Struthio camelus: one gene and its partners. Each later gene encodes a partner of the first gene's protein in a complex. Links are inferred from orthologs where the notes say so. Each region holds a gene or a part of one and is shown on either strand. Other genes may lie near its edges. The genes, in order: PIGP, PIGH and DPM2.

What was found.
Region 2: PIGP (region 1) and PIGH share a complex: the UniProt entries of both Homo sapiens proteins name them as parts of the glycosylphosphatidylinositol-N-acetylglucosaminyltransferase (GPI-GnT) complex. The link is inferred for Struthio camelus from reciprocal best matches to the Homo sapiens genes PIGP and PIGH.
Region 3: PIGP (region 1) and DPM2 share a complex: the UniProt entries of both Homo sapiens proteins name them as parts of the glycosylphosphatidylinositol-N-acetylglucosaminyltransferase (GPI-GnT) complex. The link is inferred for Struthio camelus from reciprocal best matches to the Homo sapiens genes PIGP and DPM2.

What each region holds. Positions count from the first base shown.
Region 1 is NC_090942.1:122,278,549-122,282,292, reverse strand, and holds the start of PIGP (phosphatidylinositol N-acetylglucosaminyltransferase subunit P), read left to right. Parts: upstream 1-1,131; 5' UTR 1,132-1,360; exon of another isoform or gene 1,361-1,574; intron 1,575-1,699; 5' UTR 1,700-1,718; coding exon 1,719-1,800; intron 1,801-3,048; coding exon 3,049-3,121; intron 3,122-3,670; coding exon 3,671-3,744. Other genes in the region: E3 ubiquitin-protein ligase TTC3, read right to left, coding at 99-173. UniProt on the Homo sapiens protein: Part of the glycosylphosphatidylinositol-N-acetylglucosaminyltransferase (GPI-GnT) complex that catalyzes the transfer of N-acetylglucosamine from UDP-N-acetylglucosamine to phosphatidylinositol and participates in the first step of GPI biosynthesis.
Region 2 is NC_090946.1:46,555,373-46,559,116, reverse strand, and holds the start of PIGH (phosphatidylinositol N-acetylglucosaminyltransferase subunit H), read left to right. Parts: upstream 1-872; 5' UTR 873-1,155; coding exon 1,156-1,332; intron 1,333-3,186; coding exon 3,187-3,396; intron 3,397-3,744. UniProt on the Homo sapiens protein: Part of the glycosylphosphatidylinositol-N-acetylglucosaminyltransferase (GPI-GnT) complex that catalyzes the transfer of N-acetylglucosamine from UDP-N-acetylglucosamine to phosphatidylinositol and participates in the first step of GPI biosynthesis.
Region 3 is NC_090961.1:7,728,813-7,732,556, reverse strand, and holds the start of DPM2 (dolichol phosphate-mannose biosynthesis regulatory protein), read left to right. Parts: upstream 1-964; 5' UTR 965-1,556; coding exon 1,557-1,565; intron 1,566-3,075; coding exon 3,076-3,165; intron 3,166-3,744. UniProt on the Homo sapiens protein: Regulates the biosynthesis of dolichol phosphate-mannose. Regulatory subunit of the dolichol-phosphate mannose (DPM) synthase complex; essential for the ER localization and stable expression of DPM1.

The DNA of each region.
Region 1 (3,744 bases):
AGTTCATCCAGATCAATAATCAGTCTATAGATGATACCTAGGTATAAAACCCATTGGATCATCTTGCAAGCCTTTCATCTAGTTCCAAACCTACTTACCAGTTCACAGCAAGATTTATCACCAGCATAAAAAGCCATGGCCGCAGATTCAGATTCGGATATAGGCTCAGCCATGGTGCATAATACTGAAAAAAAAAAGATTATGAGAACCACACGCGGGTGGGGGAGAGAGGAAAGGAATGCACTTACTTTACAGGAAATAAAATGATCACAACATGACATTACGATTTGTGATAGCTTCACAGAAAACATGCACTCGTATTTTTACGTGACATAGTTAAACTTAAGAAAAGCATCCTAAAGCGTTAGATAATTGTTCAAGTTAAAAACTACTTAAACTGACTAACAACTCCAACAGTTTTGCAAGCGCCTGGTCCCTGACAGCACTCCTATTGCCTCACGCCTAACAGGCAGGAAAGGGAAGGGCAGTGTCTACCAGCCGGGGAAGGGTGCAACAGCAACTAAGCCCCATTTGCCACATCCAAAGACAGCGGCTCTAAACACCCCGCGTGACAGAACCGCGGAGGCCTCCCGTCGCCCAGAGCCACGCTCCCCCTCCTGCCAGCTCGCCCCCCACCGCAACCCGCGGGCCGCTGCGCGGAGCCCGGCCGCCTCGCCGCCACCTCCCGGCCCCAGCAGCAGCCGCGCTTCTCACCAGCGACGTGTCGCAGCCCCACGGAGCCGAGGCCACACCGCCCTGCCCGCTCCCGTCCCCCCGCACTGGCTGCGCTGGAGCCCGCCCCAGGCGGGCCGGGCCGGGCGTCACCCTCCCGGCCCCAAGGCGGAGGCCGGGGGCAAGGGAGGGGCACGAGCTTGGCACCGCGCGCAGAGGGGGAGGGGAGCGCCCGCCCCGGCCTCAACGCCCGCCACTCACCGGACCCCGCCACGGCCAGCGCGAGACCAACCGCCACCCGCGGCGCCGCTGGGCCCAACGCTGGCCCCTCCCCCCGCACGTGCCAGCCCCCCCCCCTCACCCGCCCTGGCCCCGCTATTGGCAGGCTGCCTTCTGACGTCAAGGGAGAGAGCCAACGCTGGGCTAGAGGTCTCCGGCCGCCGCGAACTCGCAGCTTTTGCGCATGCGTCTGCTTGCCGCGGGAGCTGGCAGCGGGAGAGGCGGTGCTGAAGCGCGCTTTTTCCGATTACGCATGCGCCAGATACACGGCGCCGGGCGACCAAGGGGAGGGGCAAGTCAGGCGGGTCGGCGCCTCTTTTCCTGCTGTCCTTAAGGGCGCCCTGGGTGTGGTTTCCTTCCTGAGGAACGCGAAGGGAAGGGGGCGGAATGGCCTAGCCGGCCGAGGCAGGTAGCAGGGGAAAGAAAGAAGGAAGGAAGGAAGGAAGGGCTGTGGGAGATGGGGGTCGGCAGCGCCGCGGCTCCCGGCCGACCGTTGAGCGGCGCGCGGGGCCTTGCGGGCTGAGCGCATGCGCAGCTCTCCCGCCACCGGCAGGCGCGTGCGGGGAGGGGGGAGGTGGCCACCGGCGCCGGTTGGTGTGGGGTGCGTCACGTCTGCATGGGAGGTAAATAAGTGATTTGTGTTGTCGTGTTTCCCCCCCCCCCCCGGATCCCCGCACTTGCGTGTAATTCGTAGCGAGACTTACCAAGCAAACCTGTAATACTTCTCTTTTTGTTTTCCCCCCCGAAGTTAAAGGGAAGAGACCAGCATGGTTGAAAACTCTCCAGCCCCATTGCCAGAAAGAGCAATATACGGCTTTGCCCTTTTTTTAGGATCTTGGTTTGGCTTTAGTAAGTATATTGTGTACTGAATAATTCACTGGAAAGTATTGTTCTGCTTAGGAGAGAAATGTAATTCCAGTTGGACCATCTCAAAAGGGTGACGATTACAATTTCTTGCCAGATCTGTGAGATGTTTTGAGAATCTAGCATTACCTTTTGTGATCCTTTCATGTTTTGTCTGTCTTTAATACTACTATGGGATTAAGTGCCTATTTAAAAAATTCTCGGCATTCTAATTTTAGTAACTTTTTTACTTGAATTACACATACAGTTGCTATTGTGTAACCGCAGCGTCCCCACCCCAGCCCCCCAAGTGCCCAAACCCTGGATATTAAAGGTTAAGGCGCGTCTGGTTAACAGCAAAGGAAAATGACCAGCCCTACCAGCTTTCTCTGCTGATGTGACAGATGCTGTAGCATTTCTCTGGGGATGTTTTACATGCCCACACAGGACTAAGATAGCCTAGAAAGGGTGAATTAAATGAGAACACCTTTTCAACAAATGAAAAGGTATTGCAAATAGATTGTAGTTGAACAAAAAAGTAGGATTCTTATGTAAGTCTTCAGTGTTTCTTGGAGGTAAGTGGCAATGCAACTAAGTTGGCTTCCGTTTTTCCCAGTGTTAGTTCTACAGAGCAAGCCTCTGCAGTTCCAGATTTTGTGTCACTGTTTGGCTACTAAACTCTTCATCTCAGTTCTTGTTAAACCTTACTCTGAATTTGTTGTTAGGGAGAAAGATTTTCAATGTTGGTTATGTTAACATGAAGATCACTGTTAAACTTACCAAGAGACTGAAAATATTTTCAGTAATTATTTTTTTCTGAATTCAGTTCTTCCATCCAAGCCCTGCCGTTCTACCACCTCTTTTAGTCGTATGACCCACTGTATAATCACTTTGTAATTTAATATTGTCTGTATGCAGAGAGTCATTTGGCGTGCTTTTGCAGAATCTTTTTGTTTTGTAGTTCCAAGACTGCATGAAATTCTTGTCTTGCCTACACAGGAAATCAAAAACTAAATGTTAAACACAAAAATGGTAGCATATAATGAGGTACAAAACATTGTCCCCATATTCGGCAAGTTTTGTGTATGAGCGATATATTCTGCAATGTCATGCTAGAGCTACCTGGGTATAGATTGTGTGAAAGTGAAACACTATCACAGTATGTATCAGTATGGAAGTATTGCTCTAAAACTTAAGGAAGAAGTCTAAAACAGTATCGGTTGCACTGTTTTGATTTTTTAATTCTTTGTGCAGTTCTGTATCTTATCTGGGCATACGTTCCTGAGACTTGGCTATTCTCTTTGGGACTAACATACTGGCCTCAAAAGTAAGTTCAAACAATTAAACTCTTAAGCCTGAATAGACGTACATTTATAACACCCTGAATTAATTTCAAATAGCAAATAGCGAAACTATACATGTATCTTTTAAATGGTGGCCTTGCATTTGATACATTTTTCCTGATGATAAAGGGCTATCGTTTTTGTGAAGCATTACTTTATACCGATAAGTAATTACGATAAAAAATATTTTGTTGTGTAATGAAAGAAGTAGTATTTATTTCAGTGTTTTGTGATAAGTTAGGAATTCTGTCTTAACCAAGTTTGCCGATGGAAATACAATAAATTTTAAATTGTATATAAAAAACAAAAGCCATCTATAAGGAGTTTGTGTGACTGTTTATAACAGGCTGGCTACAGTGACTCCATAGTTAGTAGTCTTCCTGGGAGGAACCAGGGTCCATATTTAGTGGTGGTGTTTCTTTTCGTCCCAGCTAAGTTTGTGCTGTATACAATAACAGCCAGTACATTAAAAATGTTATGTCACCAGACATTTTGTTATTATGATAAGTAAATTTTAAAATCTTATTTCTCAGGTACTGGGCAGTTGCATTGCCTGCGTATCTACTAGTTACTCTAGCAATCGGCTATATCTTGCTTTTTGGTATTA
Region 2 (3,744 bases), on another chromosome or scaffold:
TATTCATTAAAAAATACGAAAAGGAACACGTTACAAAGATCCATTAATTAAAGTCTTTGTATACAAAGCCAAGTCTCCAGTTTATTAGTTTTTGATAATATCATGTACTTAGGTGGCAAAGAACCAGAAAACACTGCTTTAAACTTTGCAAAAATAAATCACTAACAAGGCTGTTTTCAATTAAGAGTCTGTAGCTGAGGACAGCACAGACAATCACAGAATCACAGAATGGTTTAGGTTGGAAGGAACCTCTGGAGATCATCTAGTCCAACCTCCCCGCTCAAGCAGGGCCACCTAGAGCCCAGGATTGTCTCCAGACAGGTTTTGAGTATCTCCAGCAAAGGAGACTCCACTACCTCTCTGGGCAACCTGTTCCAATGCTCTGTCACCCTCACAGTGAAGAAGTTTTTTCTCAGGTTTAGGTGGAACTTCCTGTGTTTCAGTTTGTGCCCGTTGCCTCTTGTCCTGTTGCTGGGCACCACGGAGAAGAGACTGGCCTCATCCTCTTGGCACTCCCCCCTTCAGATACTTATACTTACAAAAAGAGGCAGATTTTTTTTTATACTAGAAACTGGCAAACGGTTAAAAAAAAGTCCCTCTTCATCATGGTAAAAGACACACAAAAGGGCCTGTGTTGTTCAACCCTGTTATTAAGACCCCAGAGGGAGCAAACAGGGAATTATCACGTTTGCAAATCGTAGCGGTTACCGATGTTGATGCAGATTAGACAAAAAAGCGCTCCACAAGCTTAACCACGCCCGCCAGGCCGGCTGCCCCGCCACCACCCGGACGAGCTGGGGCGGGCGCAGCCCCCGCGGGCCACCTCGCTGCCGGACACGCTCACTGCACACGCGCGGCGCGCCCGCGGGGGGGGGGGGGGGGGAGCTCCCGCCGGGACGCCCTTTGGGGCTCAGGCCGGGGGAGGGAGGCGCCTCGCCCGCTGCTGCCGCTGCCGCTACCGCTGCCGCCGCGCCCTGCGCACGCGCGTGGCCGTGGCTTCGCGCCCCGCGCTCCCCCGCGCGCACGCGGAGGGAGGAGCTCCCCCCCCCTCGCCGCGGAGAGGAAAGCACCGGAAGCGAGGGGAGCCGCACCATCGAGACGAGGGCCGGCCGGGCCGCTCTAGGCCTCGCGCATCGGCGGTTCCGGCCGGGCGGCATGGAGGAGCGGTGGTACCGGGCGGTGTCGGGGGCGCCCATCGCGCTGCGGTGCCGCCAGCACAGCGCCTCCTGCCGGGAGCTGGCGGTGCGCGGCCCCCGCCTGCAGCTCCGCTCGCTCAGCGCCGTCACCTCCTCGGTGTGGCTGGCGGCCTACGGGCTCTTCGCGCTCAGCGAGGTACCGCCCTGCGCCTCCGGGGCCGCGGCCCGGCCCGGCCCTGCCGCTCGCCGCGGCCCCGGGGAGCCCCCACCCGCCGGGCCGGGCCGGGGGGGAGGCGAGGGGGGTCTCGCCGCCGGGCGCCCTGCCGAGGGAGCGTCGTTGCTCGTGCCTCGCTGGGTCGGGGTGGGCGCGGCGCGGCAGCCGGCTGCTGGGGGCCCGCTGGCGCAGCCCCAGCGCCCCCGGCCGCTTCTCGGAGGCCCCGGTTGGTTTGTAGCTTGCCAGCTAGGGTAGATTTACGCGTGGGCGCTAGCGCGGCCTTGTGAGTTTACTCGGAGAGAGGAGGTGCGGGGACGTGGGGTGCAGGGTCCCTCCAAGGAGGTGAGTGATTCCTAGGAAAACCCCTCTGGGATTTTTCTGAGTGGAGCAAAGAGCACTGCACTACGAATGTCATTTACTTGCTCATGTTGCATAGTTGAGTCAACAAGACCTTGTCAGACAGTACAGATTTCAAAAGCGGCTGATAAATCGACAAGTATTGGCTTAGATATCTGATCTTTGATCCATGCTAACAGAGGAGGACTGCCTTCTGGACTCAGACCAATACTTTCACCCTGAGATTAAAGTCAAGAGCTTGGCTTGACTGAAAAGGCTGATCCCTGTGACCAGCACTATGATACACATCGCACTTCAGCTTTCTCAATAATCTTTCCCAAAGAGTGGAGACGGGGACTGAGAGACATAAATCAATTGGCAATGTTTCTGGTATGAAAAGATGGCTCGTCATCCTCTGGCTGGAAGGGGAGTTGTGGTCCAGTCTTATTTTTTACAAAAGCATATATCCTGAGCCAGCAGTTACCACCAGCTGTCTTCCTGCATGATTTTAAGTGAGTGCATGCAGCTTGTACGTAACTAACTGATTACAATCCTCCCTTTCTGCCAGGAAACCAGACCTGAAGGTCTTCAGCCTCTTTGTAGATTTCAGTGTCTGTAATTCTCCACTGATTTCACCATGATGACGAGCTCTGGGAGGAGTCCAGTATCCTTTCTCTTTGAATGCAGGCATGGCTTCTTTACCTCATATAGTGGTACAGTCACTAGTTGAGCTGGAGGGCCATGTAGCTCTGGTCCTTTGGGAACTGTCAGTTATGACTTTGATTTACAGGATGTGGCCTTTGGCTCTCTAAAACAAGTCCCAGAGATAGGTTGTAGGTTGAGAACATTTGGGATGTATTACCAGGTCTTCAGATGACTTACTGTTGCTTATAGTTTTATCAGTTAGACGTTATTTTATGTAATAGCTAGCAATCCCAAACTGCAGCATGCAAAAGACAGATTGTTCTCAGGCAAAGCTCGGAAGAAAGCAAACAGTCTCTAGAAGGGAGATGAAGTTTGAACAAGTTTAGACTCTCAGATTATAAGAAGAAAACTTGGATCTCCTAGGTCTTAGTCCAGATCTTTTAGCAAAACAAATTCTTTCCGCTCTGAGACTCCACCCTTAGCTCTAGTAAACATTTAAAATTTCTCTATTAGGTTGACATCACTTCTACAGATGTTTGTATGACATGCTGTCTTCTCTGATGCTCCTCACTGTTTTGAATGGAGTTTCCCGCACTAAATTTAGACGTGGATGAAGTTTTGTTGCTCATTTTGGTTTCAGTTCCCAATTCCTTCAGATCATACTATGGAGACTTGTGTTTGGTAATTTAAACCTCATTACCGGCCCAGTGAGTGCCCTGCATACATAGAGGACTCCACTTAATTAAAACTGCCATATAACTGTAGCCTTAATATTGTGGTTTACTCTGGAACATTACTTTGTATAAAGCAGTGTGTTAAGACTGGCGCTCTGTCTTTCCTTGGTTTGTGTTACAGAATAGTATGGTGCTTTCTGCTGCTATATTCATCACGCTCATCGGCCTGATTGTATATCTGCACTTTGTGAAGATTGACCAGGAATCACTGTTAGTCATTGGCTCACTCGGCATTCAGGTGACTTCATCCTATGCTTCAGGGAAGGAGAGCACAACCTTCATTGAGATGAGTCAGGTGAAGGATGTGGTTATCAATGAAGCCATCCACATGGTAATTGTATACAGTCTTTCTTCATGTGTATCTTTAGGCACACTTTGATCCAGCATGTTTTCATGAGAGTGGTTTACCAGAGAAAGTAAACACAGCAACATCTATAGCTTTGCTGATGTCAGGGGCTTTGTTCCAGATTTCTCTTTTTATTCTATCATCTGTTTTCTTACCTTTCAAGGAAAACTTAAAGCAAATATCCTCAAAAAGTCAAATCCATCCCTTAGATAATGCACTGAGCTACTGGTTTTAGTTCTTCCTGTTACACTGTTCTTATAAATTCCGATGTAAAACTCCGTAAGTATTCAATAAACCATAAGAAGATGGACCACAACCAAAAGAGGTGATTTT
Region 3 (3,744 bases), on another chromosome or scaffold:
GGTTTTCTTGGCTTTGTCCCTGTGGCAAGATGTAAGGGGGGGGCAGCAGCAGAGCTTTTCTGATGCGTTTTCCTCCTGTTTGCGTGTCCCCTTTTTTCTCATGGCCCTGGGCAACCACGAGCCCGGGGGTCGTTGGCAAAGTCCACTGCTTAAGGGTTAAAAAAGAAAAAAAAATCTCAAAATGGTAGTAGTTCAGGGTTTTGTGGGAAATTATTTTTTCATAAATCCCCTCACTCCCTCTCTGGTTGCGATCACAGTCCTGGACATCTCCCTGCTAGATCTATCCCAGCTGGGCCTGCGGCCGCGCAAAGGGAGGGGGATGAGCACGGCGGCCGCCGCCGCCTTCCCCAACCGCCCGCCGAGGAGCGAAACGCCCTCCTGCCGCCCTGCAGCGAAGCGACGGGGACCCAGCGGCGCAGCCCGAAACGGCGGCCACCTGGCGAGGGGCAGAGCGGCCCCCGGCCCTGCCCGTCGCCTCCAGGCACTGCGAGCTGAGGGGGGTCCGGTCTGGCCCCGCTGCCCCCGGCTGCGGGGCACCGCTTTAAAAATTGCTAAGTATCAAATTAAAAATAGTAAGAACAATAAAATGTATATTTAAATTATTAATAAATAAAATTAGGTCGATATTAAAATTAAAGTGCGGTTACTGTAGGAAGTGGTGAATTAAAATGTTGGAATAAAGAAGTAGCCTAAAGGAGCCTCAGGGCCCTGTGGCCACCTCCCTCCCCCCGGACTACACTTCCCGTGATGCTCAGGGTGGGGGGCGCGCCTACATTTCCCACAATGCCGTGGGGGCCGGAGCCCTTCCCCGCTGATTGGCTGTCTGCCGCGAGCGTGACGGCGGGCTTGCTCCCGTCAGGCCCGGCGGGCGGGCGTGGCTGAAACGCTGCTCGCTGATTGGCTGAAAGCTCCCGGAAGAGCGCTGCTGGCGGGGAGGGAACTCGGAGCTGCTCGTCGCCATGGTGAGTGGGCGGGGGGGAGTCTGCTGCCCCCGGGCCGTCGTGAGGGGCCTGGGGCGGGGGGAACCCGCCATCTCGGGGGTTGTTGCCCCTTCCGTGCGGGCGTTGGGGTCTGGGGGAGGCTGTTGCCCCTCTTTGGGGGGGTGTTTCCCTCTGTGGGGCGGAAGAGGTGGGGGGAGGTTATTGCCCCGCTGTGGGGGGGTCGTTGCCCCCTCGCTGTGGGGCAGCAGGGGGCTGAGGGGGTTGTTGCCCCCTCGCTGTGGGGCAGTGCGGAGTTGCTGCCCCCTCCGCTTTGCCTTGCAAGCGCCGTTTCCCCCTTGACCTCCTCGGGCCTCAGGAGCGCGGAGGTTGGGGGCCAGCTGTGAGCGCTGGTTCCTTTCCCCTGCATCTCTCCCAGAATCACGGAGCGGTAGGGGTGGGCAGGGACCTCTGGAGATCGGCTGCCCCAACCCCTGCTGGAGCAGGGTCCGCGGGAGCAGGCTGCTCAGGGCTGTGTCCCATTGAGTTTTGACTATCTCCAGGGCTGGAGATGCCACAACCTCTCTGGGCGACCTGTTCCAGCGCTCAGCCACCCTCGCAGTAAAGAAGTTTTTCCTCATGCTCAGAGTGAGTTTCCTGTGTTCCGCTTGGTGCCTCTTGCCTCTCGTCCTGTCACTGGGCACCACTAAGAGTGTGTCCCTGTCCTTTTGACACCCTCCTATCAGATATTTTTACACACTGATCAGATCCCGTCCCCCCGAGCCTTCTCTTCTGCAGGCTGAACAGTCCCAGCTCTCTCAGCTCCTCCTCATATGAGAGATGCTCCAGTCCCTCAGTCATCTTTGTGACCCTCCGCTGGACTCGCTCTAGGAGCTCCATGTCTCTCTTGTACTGGGGAGCCCAGCCTGGGACCCGGCACTCCAGGTGTGGCCTCACCAGGGCTGAGTAAAGGGACAGGATCGCCTCCCTCGACCTGCCAGCAATGCTCTGCCTGATGCAGCCCAGGTTACCATTGGCCTTCTTGGCCACAAGGGCATAGTGCTGGCTCATGTCCAACTTTTGTGTCTACTAGGACTCCCCAAGTCCTTTTCTGCAGGGCTGCTCTCAAGCTAGGTGGCCCCAGCCTTTCTTAATGCATGGGGGTATTCCTCCCCAGGTGCAGGACTTTGCACTTTTCTTTGTTGAAGGACTGTTGAGGAACTTCGGAAAGTTCTTCTCCGCCCATTTCTCCAGGCTGTGGTGGTCCCCGACTGGCAGCACAGCCCCCTGGTGTATTAGCCAGTCTTCCCAGTTCCTTCCCAGCTCCCTCGCTCCTGTAGCTGTAGTGCCCAGTGGCCCAGGGTGACCTGGCTTTGTGATGAATGGCACTTTGAGCTCCTTTGGAGGCAGTGAGCCTCAGCATGTCCATACTTGACCCGCTGGTGTCACAATGGAGTTGGGTCATGGCTCGTCCTCTTTAACGCTGTTTTAGCACAGAGAAGGCACTGAGTGTGAAGACTACTCTGGAGCTGAAGAGGGAGGCAATTTAGAAGGGGCCAAACTGAAATTTGGCCCGGAGTACCTGCCTCTGACAAGTACTGGGGTTTTCATGGTGTTAAATGTTCCGACTCTTCATTTTGCGTGTTCCTCAGGAAATAGCCCGAATAGCACAATGCCTTCCGAAGTGTGGCGCTTTATGCATTGCAGGCTTACGGATAGAGAGTCTGAACCCCTCCCAGTCCCCGGCAGTCTGTCTGGGCTTTTCCAGGGTTTCCGTCTATCTGTTGCAGTGATCGGACCAGGTAGCCTGAAGCCTGCTGGAGCTCAGCAGAGGGTTGTGTTGGTGTGGGCTGGGAGTTAGTACTTCAAAGCAGTTCGTCAGAATTGCTGGAGTGTACAACTTGTGTGTCTGCTGTAGCGGCAGGACACGAAATCCCTGACCGTTCCAGAGCAGGAGGGCACGGCTGTTCTCACTGAAGCACTTGTGATAAATCATTTTTGCTGCCCAGGTTTCTTCCCTTGCGTTCTTTTTTTCTTTCAGTACTGCAGCCATACGTTCTTATAAGCTGGAGCACGATAAATAGCATATGCCCGTTAACTGTTCCTGCTCAGACACCACAACGTGCTGATCCTGCTCTGACTCTCTCTTACTTTGCAGGCCACAGCAACAGACCAGGTGGTTGGATTTGGCTTGGTAGCCTTCAGCCTTGTTCTCTTTGTTTACTACACCATCTGGATCATCATACTGGTATGGGTCTTGCTCTACCTATTGTAATCTCGGTAACTTGGCTGCTGTGTTTGCCTAGACTTTATTTAGGTGCCGATGTGTCCTTGTGTCTGAAAGAACTCTGCTTTGCTAGCTTCCTGGTGAAAAATGTCAGTGTAGAACTTCCTGTAGTTTGCTGGTGCACACCTTGCTCTTTCTAGGTGTGCCTGCCCTTGTCTGGGTAAGATCAAGCTTAGACTCTGCCACCTGCCCTGCTGCTCTGAGACAGACAGGTTTGGCCAGTGTAAAAGTTGAGACTGACCTGAACAGTCATCGAGAGCTAAAGCCTGCCATTCTGGAGGTGTCGGATAAGGATTGTTGTCATGAATGTTCATTTTTGCTGTCTTCTGATTCCTGGTTCTGGTGGGAGGTGACAGGGGGAAGTATAAAAAGAGACTCTACTTACTAAATCTGGAGCCCAGTAAGGAGAAGAGTTTAGGGAACATGGAGCTCTAGAAAATTGGTTGCGAGCCGGACAGTTTGTCCACTTCCCCGACAAATCAGCTGGGGTGATGAGTGGTATTCTCCCTGGAAATCCTGGAAAGAAATGTCTCCCTGTGA